2 linked regions of the Caenorhabditis elegans genome follow. The protein of the gene in region 1 interacts with the protein of each later gene in a pairwise test. Each region holds a gene or a part of one and is shown on either strand. Other genes may lie near its edges. The genes, in order: npp-11 and npp-13.

What was found.
Region 2: the proteins of npp-11 (region 1) and npp-13 interact in a two-hybrid assay, tested with the Caenorhabditis elegans proteins (one study listed by BioGRID).

The regions. Positions count from the first base shown.
Region 1 is NC_003279.8:3,816,011-3,822,184, reverse strand, and holds npp-11 (Nsp1_C domain-containing protein), read right to left. Parts: upstream 4,112-6,174; 5' UTR 4,107-4,111; coding exon 3,995-4,106; intron 3,948-3,994; coding exon 3,855-3,947; intron 3,784-3,854; coding exon 2,304-3,783; intron 2,254-2,303; coding exon 1,783-2,253; intron 1,178-1,782; coding exon 990-1,177; intron 935-989; coding exon 861-934; 3' UTR 689-860; downstream 1-688. Other genes in the region: E3 ubiquitin-protein ligase ubr-1, read left to right, coding at 5,389-5,542, 5,597-5,847, 6,054-6,174.
Region 2 is NC_003279.8:2,095,307-2,100,355, forward strand, and holds the start of npp-13 (Nuclear pore protein), read left to right. Parts: upstream 1-2,039; 5' UTR 2,040-2,040; coding exon 2,041-2,139; intron 2,140-2,193; coding exon 2,194-2,433; intron 2,434-3,283; coding exon 3,284-3,400; intron 3,401-5,049.

The sequences.
Region 1 (6,174 bases):
TATATTTTTTCATCAACATCAAAAACAAAAATTGGTGAATTAAAAAACTTATTTCTAAGAAAAGTTTAGTTTTTCGATTTTAGCAAAAAATTGAAAACCTGACACCCTCGATTTTCAATACAGGTGGTTACTCCTTCGAGGAATCTTACGATATTTGATGAAAAGTAGGGTTTCCAGTCTCGAAACGATCGATCTCGCAGCTACCGTACTTTCAAAAATCACAAAATACTAACATTTGACTAGGAGCTCCTAGGGATGCAAGATAAATTGATGAAATCAAAAAAGAGAAACATCACTGTAAACGTTTTCAAAATCACAAGGAAAAGCAATTAGAAATTTCTAGAGCATCAAAAACTATGATAAGGATCTTTTGATAACAATAGTGACCCCCGCAAATGGGGGAAATTCAACGAAATTCGTTGAAATTTAAAGAGCAAGAGGTAAATACTTGGGTATAACTTGGGCCACATATTAAAATGTTAATTTTTTTAGTTAAATAAAATTTTCCAAGCCAAAAAAAAAAAAAAAATGAAGAAATAAAACAATTAATTATATTTAAAATTTAATTTTAAAATGTAGAGTTAAAATACACAAGTAAATATTTTCCAAACAAGAAAATATAAAATATATCAGTGTAATTTTAAAAAACACTTGAAAAAAAAAACCAAAATATAATCAATATTTTTTAAAAACAAGTTCATTCACAAACTCAACCAAACACACAACAAAACAGACAATAACAAAAAAAATAAATAGTGTGATGGTGGTGATCATGAAGAAAACAGGTGAAAGTGTATAGGTTTAAAGAATTAGAGTTTCAATTTAAAGAAAAAATGAATATATAAATAAAAAGTAAGAATCTAGGCCTTCGACGAGTTGTTCGTTTTCAGATTGTGGTCATCCTTCAGCTTGTTCAGCTTATCACGAGTAGCATCTGTAAAATAAAAATTGACATTTAATAATTTGATTAAAAACTCTAAAATTAGTACCGTGTTGAGTGGAGAGATCCATCAGCTTCTGCAGCTGCTTCTTCATAATAAGCTCAGTTTTCTCCAGCGGGGTCTCGGTTTTCGTCTTCAAAACTGTCGATTGCATTGTGTTAAGTGACTTGGTGATTTGATCGAGATCGAAGTCCGCACATTTCATTTGGGAATCCACGTTGAGCATCATTTGAGCGCTGGAATTTTTTTTTGAAATTATTATTTTGATTTTTAAGGGGAGTAAGGTCCAGGGCTGTCGCTTTTTGCTTTTTTTCTTTCGTCTTCAAGACTGTCGATTGCATTGTGTTAAGTATTTTCGGAACAAAAAACAAAAAAAATGCTTTCAAAAAGTTTTAGTTATTATGATTTTAAAAAAAACCTGTGGATTTTTTTGCTTAAATATTCAAAAACTCTCAACAAGAAAAAAATCTGATAGTTTTATGGCAGGATTTTGCGAAATTTTGTCAACTTTTTCTTTGTCGCAGCGGCTGAAATATAGTTTTTATCGAATTATCCCGATTTATTGCATATTTTGATTATTTATCTGGCGTTAATTCGTTAATTTAGTCATATTTTAAGTCGATAGCTATTCAAAAATTACGAAAATTGGATGCAAATCGAGCCAAATCAACGGAACAGCGTGAGATAATCAACCAAAGCATGCCAAATAGGGCAATATATGAAAAAAAATCAATTTCCATCGGCTTTTACAAAGAAAAAGTTGGGAAAACTGAAGTTTTTAGCTAAATTTAATATATTTCTTAAAAATTTAATCCATTAAAAATCAATAACTTTGACGTACATTTGCACTCTCTGAACATCATGTCTCGACGCAAATCTGCTATCAAGTGGGAATTTGTAATCAAGAGTATGCCATTCTGGAAGGCTCAGCTTGTTCTCTAGCTCAACAACATTTTGCTCAATATCGTTCAAGACAGAAGTCATGGAGGCGACGTTGAAATGCAGTTTCTTGCAGCTTCCACTCAAATCATCCATCTCATTGTACAATCCTAAAACTTTTGGCTCGAGTGTAATGAGCTCACGGTCATAAGCATTAAGCTCGAGCATTTTATTATGGAATACTCGTTCCTGCTTCGCAATTTCCGAATGATAACTATTGACAACTTCTTGAAGGGCGGTGAAGAAGGCTTTTGTATCATTTCCACCGAGTCCTGCTTTGATTTCTTCTTCAGAAAGTGTGTCGCTTCCACTTGCACCAATTTTCAGGCCTGCAGATGTAGTTGCAGCTCCTTTAAGTCCTGATGTTGTCCATCTGAAATTAAGAGTTTTTTTTATATTTTTAAAAAGTAAACCAAAATGTACCCAGTTCCCTTAGCCAATGGTGTTGAAGTGAGCCCTAGGCCAAGTCCAAGAGTTGGAGTAGCTTCTGCTGGCTTTGGAAGAGTGGAAGTAGTGCTGGTTGTGGTTGGAAGAGATGGAGTTGCTGACACTGTAGATGGAGTTTGTCCCAATGTAGCGGCAGTAGCAGGTGTTGTTGTAGTTGCTGCTCCAAACAATCCACCGGTCGGACCTACAGTTGCTGGTGCAGTTGTAGTCGCAGCCCCGAACAGGCCACCAGTCGGAGCTGCTGCGGCGGGAGCAGTTGTGGTTGCTGCTCCGAATAATCCACCAGTCGGAGCTGTAGAAGCAGGCGTAGTTGTGGATGAAGCACCGAACAATCCTCCAGTAGAAGCCGCTGGAGCTGCACTAGTAGCTGTTGTGGTTGCTGGAGCTGTTCCGAACAAAGATCCAGTAGCTGGAGCTGATGTGGTGGTTGTCGATGATGCTCCAAAGAGTCCTGCTGTTGGTGCGGCTGGGGTCTTAGCAGGAGTTGACGATCCGAAGAGACCTCCGGTTGGAAGTGAAGCGGCCGGAGCAGCGGCGGTAGATCCGAATAATCCCCCAGTTGTAGATGAGGTTGGTGCTGCGGCTGCGGCGGTGGTGGCTCCGAACAATCCTCCAGTTGAAGCTGCCGCTGGGGCGGTGGCAGGGGCTGCCGCAGCGGTTGTAGAAGCACTAGAATTACCGAACAATCCAACAGATGGAGTGGATGCTGAAGCAGCACCAATGCTGAAAAGACCTCCAGTAGCAGCGGCGGGAGCAGTAGAGGCTCCGAAAAGACCACCAGTGGCTGGAGCGGACGAAGGAGCAGATGTTGGTGCTCCGAACAATCCTGATGTGGCAGTTGTAGTTGCAGCGGTGGTTGCAGGAGCGGTAGAACCAAAAAGACCTCCCGATGGAGCTGCAGGCTTTGGAGCTGCGCCGAATAGTCCACCAGATGAAGCTGTCGCAGCAGGTGCTGAATTTCCGAATAATCCAGAGGTTGGAGCAGCATTGCTAGTAGCTGGTGCAGCCCCGAACAAACCACCAGAAGGAGCTGGGGCTGTGGAAGTTGGAGCAGCTGAAGATCCGAATAAGCCGCCGGATGGAGCCGCTGTAGAGGTGGAAGTGCTTCCAAATAGTCCTCCTGGTGCTGCTGGAGCGGCCGTGGATCCGAATAATCCACTTGATGGCGCAGCAGTTGAGCTACCGAAAAGCCCGCCAGTTGGTGCAGTTGTTGCGGTACTTGTGGATGATCCGAACAAGCCGCCAGTTGGAGCAGCTGGTTTATTAGCTCCGAACATGCCAGCACCAGCTGATGGTGCGCTTGCGCCAAACGTTACTGTAGCAGGTGCTGCTGAATTTGCAGAACTTCCAAAAATGCTCGTTGAAGCGGGAGCTGGCGCCGCGGCACCAGAATTTCCAAAGATTCCAGCAGACGCTGGGGCTGGAGCTGCAGCAGAGGAGCCTCCAAACATTGAGCCTGAAAAATTTAAAATTATACTTTTTGAATACGGGAGCGTATTTTACAAGTTTATTAAACCAAAAACCTACCAGTAGCTGTGCTGTTTCCGAAAAGTCCAGTACTTCCAGTGCTCGGCTGTGCGGATCCAAAAGAAAAACCTCCGGTAGTATTCGTGTTTCCGCCTAAAAACGAAAAAAATAAATTAGTTGAATTTTTCATCGATCGATACCTGTGTTCGCTGTTGATGTGCTCGAATTACCGAAAGAAAATCCAGATGAGGCTGTTGTGGTAGCAGCGGTTCCTCCGAAAATCGACGGTTTTGGTGCAGATCCTCCAAACATTTGATCTGGAATGATATTTTTAATATTTTTAAAGGGCAGCAATATTATTTGACAAAAAGAAAACGACAGAGAGGCAGAAAATAGTCATTTGAGTGCACAAATGAGCGCGTCGAGATTCGAAAAATGATTTGGTGGTCGCGCGAAAATGATGGCCTAAAAACACCGCAGACTAGGCCGGCGGCTGGGAGGAGCACGCGACGTCGGCGTGAAGGAGAAAAATCGAAGATAATTTCATGTGCTGCAGTTAGTTTGAAAATATAAATATTTTTGGGCCCGAATGTCTTTGTGGTTTCTATTGCTATTCTAACTTCTCGATTACAACTTATAATATTGATCCATTTTTTATACTGATATTTTAAAAAAGTTATGAAATGTGAAGAAAGATCTCGATCATCGAAACGATGAGCAAGCTTCTGAATATGCAAAGTTTTCTATCACAAAGGGGTAAAAACGCGGGAGAACCTTTTTTTCCTGCTGACCAAGTACTTTTCACGAAGAAATACTTTAATTTTTGATGAAAATAAAAAAGAAAACTATATACAAACTCAAAAATCTAACAACTCTCAGCGATCCACGCAAATTAGGAAATTGAAAACAAAAAGAGAAATTTGTGTACCGTAGTCCGAACACTTAAAGGCGCATGCCTCACCTTCAGGGTCTCGCCACGATCCACTTCCCAAGGGTTTTATTTTTATTTTTTTAGATTGTTTTTTTTCGCGAAATCAGTTATTTTTTCGGTGAAAAAGTATATTTTATTGCTTTTAAAGTCAAATAACTTTTATTAAAATATAGTTTTAAATTATTTTGACGTTATATGAGTGAAACATTCAAAGTCCACGTGCTCTAAAGTCTGATTTTAAAAAAAAGTTTTTTTTTATTGCTTCGCCAGTGAATTCGCTGACACGTAAAAATAATCAATATTTTTAATAGTTCAATTTCCTCATTGTTGAATTATTTAATCCACGATGCATTGCACCGAGTCCGTGAGAGCTCTTTATCTGCGGCAACACTCTCGCATCGAAAACAGAGAGAGAGAGAAGCAAATCTATATCCTCCCGTTCTCTCTCATCTCCTTCACTTTCTCCTAGTGTCCACTGTCATCATTTTTGCCTCCCATCACTGCTTTTTGTCCTCTCGTTCGCTTATTTTGATATGGTCATCAGCAGCATAATCGGGGGGTCGGAAAATAATCAATATATTTTATTTTCTTTTACGAATCCTCTTTTTCTTAGATGAAATGCTCCTATTTTATCAAGCTACCGATTTCAGTTCGACTAATGGAATGATTGTCGATTTAATACAATCAGCTCGACAGGGTGAATGGGCCCAAGTACGCCAGCTGCTGCTCAAGCACTGGCTTGTACAGGTCCCAGAGGTGTTCGAAGTGAATTCGGATTTGCCATGGGACAATACAGCCGCGAATGAACGAATTCTAGGTGGGTTTTTTTGAAAAAAAAAACATATATATTAAAAAGCCAATTTTGCTTCAGGTTCCCAAGGAGAGATTCTCCTAGCCCCACTGGTCAGTGCATTTGTACTAGACGTTCGGAACACAAAGAGCACACTGGAAGCAATGAATGGCATTGCCGGAGTTGATCCTGCAAGACGGGGACAAATTTGTGGCCATGTATTTAAAAACGGAGAACTTACGTATACATGTCTGGATTGTGCCACTGATGGGACATGTGTCATGTGTCTTCAGTGTTTTGAAGTTTCAATTCATAAATCTCATAAATACAAAGTGAGGATGCCTCAAAATGAATCAATTTCCACAGAAAATTTCTGAAAAAAAACATTCAGATTTTAGCCGAAACTTGCCCTTTTTCTCGAAATTTTAAACCAACATAGACAAAATCTTGAAAAGTTTTTGATTATTTTGAGCGAATATGAATGATAAAACACGCATATTTAAGTAAATCCAATTTATAATTGAAAAAAAATTTCCAGATGCACTCTTCCTCCGGTTCGGGATATTGTGACTGTGGTGATGCAGATGCATGGACAGAAGGTTACGCATGTGCAAATCACGAGAAAAAGGACGATGAAGAGGCGGCAGTGTTGGCTCCAG
Region 2 (5,049 bases), 1.7 Mb from region 1:
ATTTTGGAAGAGGGGAGGAGAACCATATAGATGGTTATCTGAAGGAAAAGGGGTATATTGAGATTGATGTGGGTGTGGTGGTAATTGGATATTAATTGGCACTTTGGTGAGGATTTTGTGAATTTTCAAACTTTGCGCGTCGAATTTGGTGTATTCACATTACACACTGATTTCTGGCTTCCCTTGAAATGGAAGAGTTTTTGCCGAACTAGGCCGTTTTGGCTCGGCCATATCTGGGGTAGATTTACGGCGCGTTGCGTGTCGCGTCGCGGCTCGATTTTAGTTGTAAAACTAAATGTATTTGTCCGTGTGGAGTACACGACTTTCCCAGTCCGGCAGGCGATTGTCAATGGAGCGCGAAAAATTCAATGAGGAAGGCAATAACCCCGTAGTACTCTAATTAAGTGTCCCGTTTTTACGAAATTTTTATAAAAATTGGTTTTTTTTGTTTTTAGAGAAAATTATGAATATATTTTCTTGTTTTTCTAATCAACAAAAGCGAAATTTAATGTAAAATTACACGGGGTTCTGGCCTTCCTCGTTGAATTTTTCGCGCTCCATTGACAATCGCCCGCCGGACTGGGAAAGTCGTGTACTCCACGCGGACAAATACATTTAGTTTTACAACTAAAACCGAGCCGCGACGCGCCGTAAATCTACTCCAGATATGGCCGAACCAAAATGGCCTAGTTCGGCAAAAACTCTTCCATTTCAAATTATGAGTCCCCATCATGCCTAAGAACCCTCTATTTAGGTTACTGACACATCTGAAACCGGTGCTACAGTACCCTGCGTGGTGGGACCCGAAAATTTGAAATTTGGCAGAAAATGGGCAAGATGGGAGTCATTTTGAAGCTGAGAATGAGGAGAATGTGAATTTTAGAGTAATTTAGAGAAAAAAGTGAAATTGGGGAAAAAAAAACAATTTTTTTGGAAATTTTTTCATTTCAAAAATGTTCTTTAAATTGTCGTTAAATTCGAATTTCTCGATTTTCAGCTGTAAAATGACCCCCATCATGCCTGGGAATGCTTCAATTTCACACATTTCCCCATTGACACAGCTGAAACCGGTGCCACAGTACCCCGCGTGGTGGAAAAAAAACCCGAAACTTTCAAAAGAAATCCCTGATTTGTTTTACACTGAAAAATTGTTGAATTATCACGGGAACACAAAATTCAGAGAATGCGTATTGCGCAACAAATTTGACGCGCAAAATTATTAATATCTCGTAGCGAAAACTACAGTAATTTAAAGAATTTAAAGAATTACTGTAGTTTTCGCTGCGAGATATTTTGCGCGCCAAATATGTTGCGCAATACGGGCTCTCTGAATTCTGTGTTCCAGTAATTTTTACTTATAATTATTTTCCATAGACCAGTAAAACATTTACTGATTAAAAAAGCTCTCGACACAACTGTCACTAAATAATTCATTTTTTTAAAAGAAATTTAATGTTTTTTAGTGTTCAAATCATCCAATTTGTGATTTATTATCTGCTCCATGAGTTCCTGAGACCGATCTACCATCTGGCGGTGTACTTCTAACCGGAAAAGTCGATAATGTGGATGCTACGACACGCTCCCGAATTTATGTCTTTTTTTTCGTTTTTCTTTAAAAATAATACTCAATTTTCTTGAAACATTTTCATCGAAAATGTTTTTTTTTTCAATTTTTTTGTAAGTTTTTCATTTTCCCACTCAATTTGTACTGAATTCGATTCAATTCCAGCGGAAATTAATTTAAATTCAGCTCTTGGCAATGTGCCAAGAAGCTGGTGGCCTAGAACTCGAAATACTGGCCTAGGATTCATGCGGGATTTCGGAGTGTCGTTGCACCGATTTTTTCAAAATTAATTTTCGTTTTGCCGCGAAAAACGAGAATTATTTGGTTTTTAAAACGTTTTTTAACGATATTTTTCGATTATTTTCATATTTTTCAGGGTTTAAACTGGAAAATGTGGTTAATGTAAACTGGTTAATGTTGTAAATCCTTGAAAAAACCTAAACCAGTAATTTTCTCAATTTTTAATTCAATTCAGGATGCTACAGTTTACGGAGATCCTCGGAAGAGTTGATCATCAAGGATTCGCACAATTGCTTGCTAATCCGATTTTCCAAACCAACCGTGTCGGCCAAGAGGTTTGTAAATAATGTTTAAAATGTTAAAAACACCGAAAAATTCCCTTTTTCCAGAACTCGCAGCAATTCACAGTCCGAAATGGCGTCGAGCAGGAGCTTTGCGGTATTTTAGGCGGTTCAGAAGGCGACTGGACACGTCAGACGCACTCAGTTCAGAAGCAGATGATGTTTGGGGAGCGTGGCATCGAACTTCCGAGCCGCCAGCCGAAAAGTCACACCGCCGAGGATACTCTCACTGATGAAGGTGTCGTGGACGTGCCTGAAGCTGTAATGGATGATATTGACGAGGAAGAAGTACTTAATCACGGCCTCCTTGAGTGTTCATAATTATTGGAGCGAGCTCGCGTGGCACCTCACGAACTCCAGAATTTGCGGGAGTTCGTTCCGCGGGAACAGCAGTTTTTTGTTATTTTTGGCTTCTATAGGAAATATTTTTGATTTTTTGTTTTATAATATTCTTGAGAAACATCATCCGAATTGAAAATGTGTAAAATTATGAAATTGGCCGAAAACTGGAAGTTTTACAGAAGAAAGCCACTATAGTTTTTGAAAAAATGTATCAGGATCGCCAGTTTTGCGATTTATGCGTCGTAAAATATGTCATTTTGTAGAGAATTAAAAGTTTCATAAAAATTTTCGTTTGAAATTTTAATTCGTTAATTTCTAATAAAAAAATATTCAAAAAATCAACAATTTTACGTTAAAATCTTATTTCTTCAATTTTTAAGTTTTCAATAAAAACAATTTTAAATTTTCAAACAAAAATTCTTATGAAACTTTTAATTCTCTACAAAATGACATATTTTACGACACATAAATCGCAAAACTGGTCCTGATACATTTTTTTAAAAACTGTAGTGGCTTCCTTCTGTAAAACTTTCAGTTTTCGGCCAAATTTTATAATTTTACACATTTTCAATTCGGATGATGCTTCTCAAGAATATTATAAAACAAAAAATCAAAGATATTTCCTATAGAAGTCAAAAATAAAAAAAACTGCTGTTCCCGCGGAACGTGTTCCCGCGAATTCTGGAGTTCGTGAGGTGCCGCGCGAGCGCGCTCTAATAATTATGAACACTCCAGGTGGCCGTGATTAATTAATAATTTATCATGAAAACAACGTTTTAATCTTTAAATTTTCCAGCTCGACGAGGACATTTCTCGTGTTAAAGTGGAGACGGATCGAGCATTCTTCAACCACATGCTTCTTTCGAGACCTGCCGCAGTTCCCATGAATCCAGCACAGGCTATGGAACGAGATGTTCGTTAAAATCCCTTGCGCGGCACACCTCACGAACTCCAGAATTCGAGGGAATTCGTTTCGCGCGCACTTCTATAGATATTATTTTCTATTTTTTTGATTTATAATGTTGTTGAGAAGCATTTTTCCGAATTGAAAATGTTTAAAATTATGAAATTTGACCAAAAACTGACGGTTTTACAGAAGGCTTTCTTTAAAATGTATCAGAACCGTCAGTTTTTTGATTTCAAAGTCGTAAAATATTTAATTTTGTAGATAAAAGTCTGTTTCACAAAAATCCACGTTTGAAAATTTAAAATTGAAAATTGTTTTTATTAAAAACTGAAAAGTCTAGAAAAAATAAGATTTTAACGTAAAATTGTTGTTTTTTTGAGTATTTTTATATTAAATTAAAGGTGGAGCACCAAAAATTTAGACTTTGCTTTTTTGGACCCAAAATGTTCCAAAACTACCAAATTTCGTAATGAGACGTTCTGAAAATTTCTCAACAAAAAAAAGTTACGACCGCTCAAAGTTTTGGAAGAAATGGTCTATTTTCAGCTAAAATCTCAAATTTGTCAGCTTTTCAGTGCTGCATCGGTTGGTACTCAATTTTTATTTGACTAGCACTCTTTAATACATATTATGGTAGTTTATTACGCGTTTTTTCGTTGATTTGAGCCCATTTTGGGTTGATGGGTGCACAAAATTGTATTATATTTGTGCACCCATCGACCGAAAATGGGCTTAAATCAACGAATAAACGCGTAATAAACTACCATAATATGTATTAAAGAGTGCTAATCAAATAAAATTAAGTTCCAACCGCTGCAACACTGAAAAGCTGCTAATATTTGAGATTTTAGCTAAAAATCTACCATTTTTTCCAAAACTTTGAACGGACATAACTTTTTTGTTGAGAAATTTTCAGAACGCCTCACCACGAAATTCGGTAGTTTTGGAACATTTTAGGTCTAAAAAAGCAAAGTCTCAAATTTCGGTACTCCACCTTTAATTTCTAATATAAAAATATTCAAAAAATCAACAATTTTACTTTAAAATCGTTTTTTTTTATAAAAGATTTTCAGTTTTTAATAAAAACAATTTTAAATTTTCAAACGTCGATTTTTGTAAAATACTCTTTTCTCTCTACAAAATGACATATTTTACGACTACGAAATCGAAAAACTGACGGTTCTGATAGATTTTGAAGTAAAACCTTCAGTTTTCGGTCAAATTTCATAATTTTACACATTTTCAATTCGTATGATGCTTCTCAACAATATTATAAATCAAAAAATTCAAAAAAGAATTTCTATAGAAGCCGGAAATAGCCAAAAACTGCTGTCCCCGCGCGAATCGAATTCCCGCGAATTCTGGAGTTCGTGAGGTGTCGTGCTCGAATAATTATGAACACTCCGGGAGACCATGGAAAACAGGGGGTTCTGGCCTTCCTCATAGAATTTTTCGCGCTCCATTGACAATCGCCTTGGGAAAGTCGTGTACTCCACACGGACAAATACATTTAGTTTTACAACAAAAATCGAGCCGCGACGCGACACGCAACGCACCGTAAATCTACCCCCAGATATGACCTGGCCTAGTTCGGCAAAAACTCTTCCATTTCAATTTATGAGCGGAACCAGAGTTCCGTGCTCGTTTATAATGAT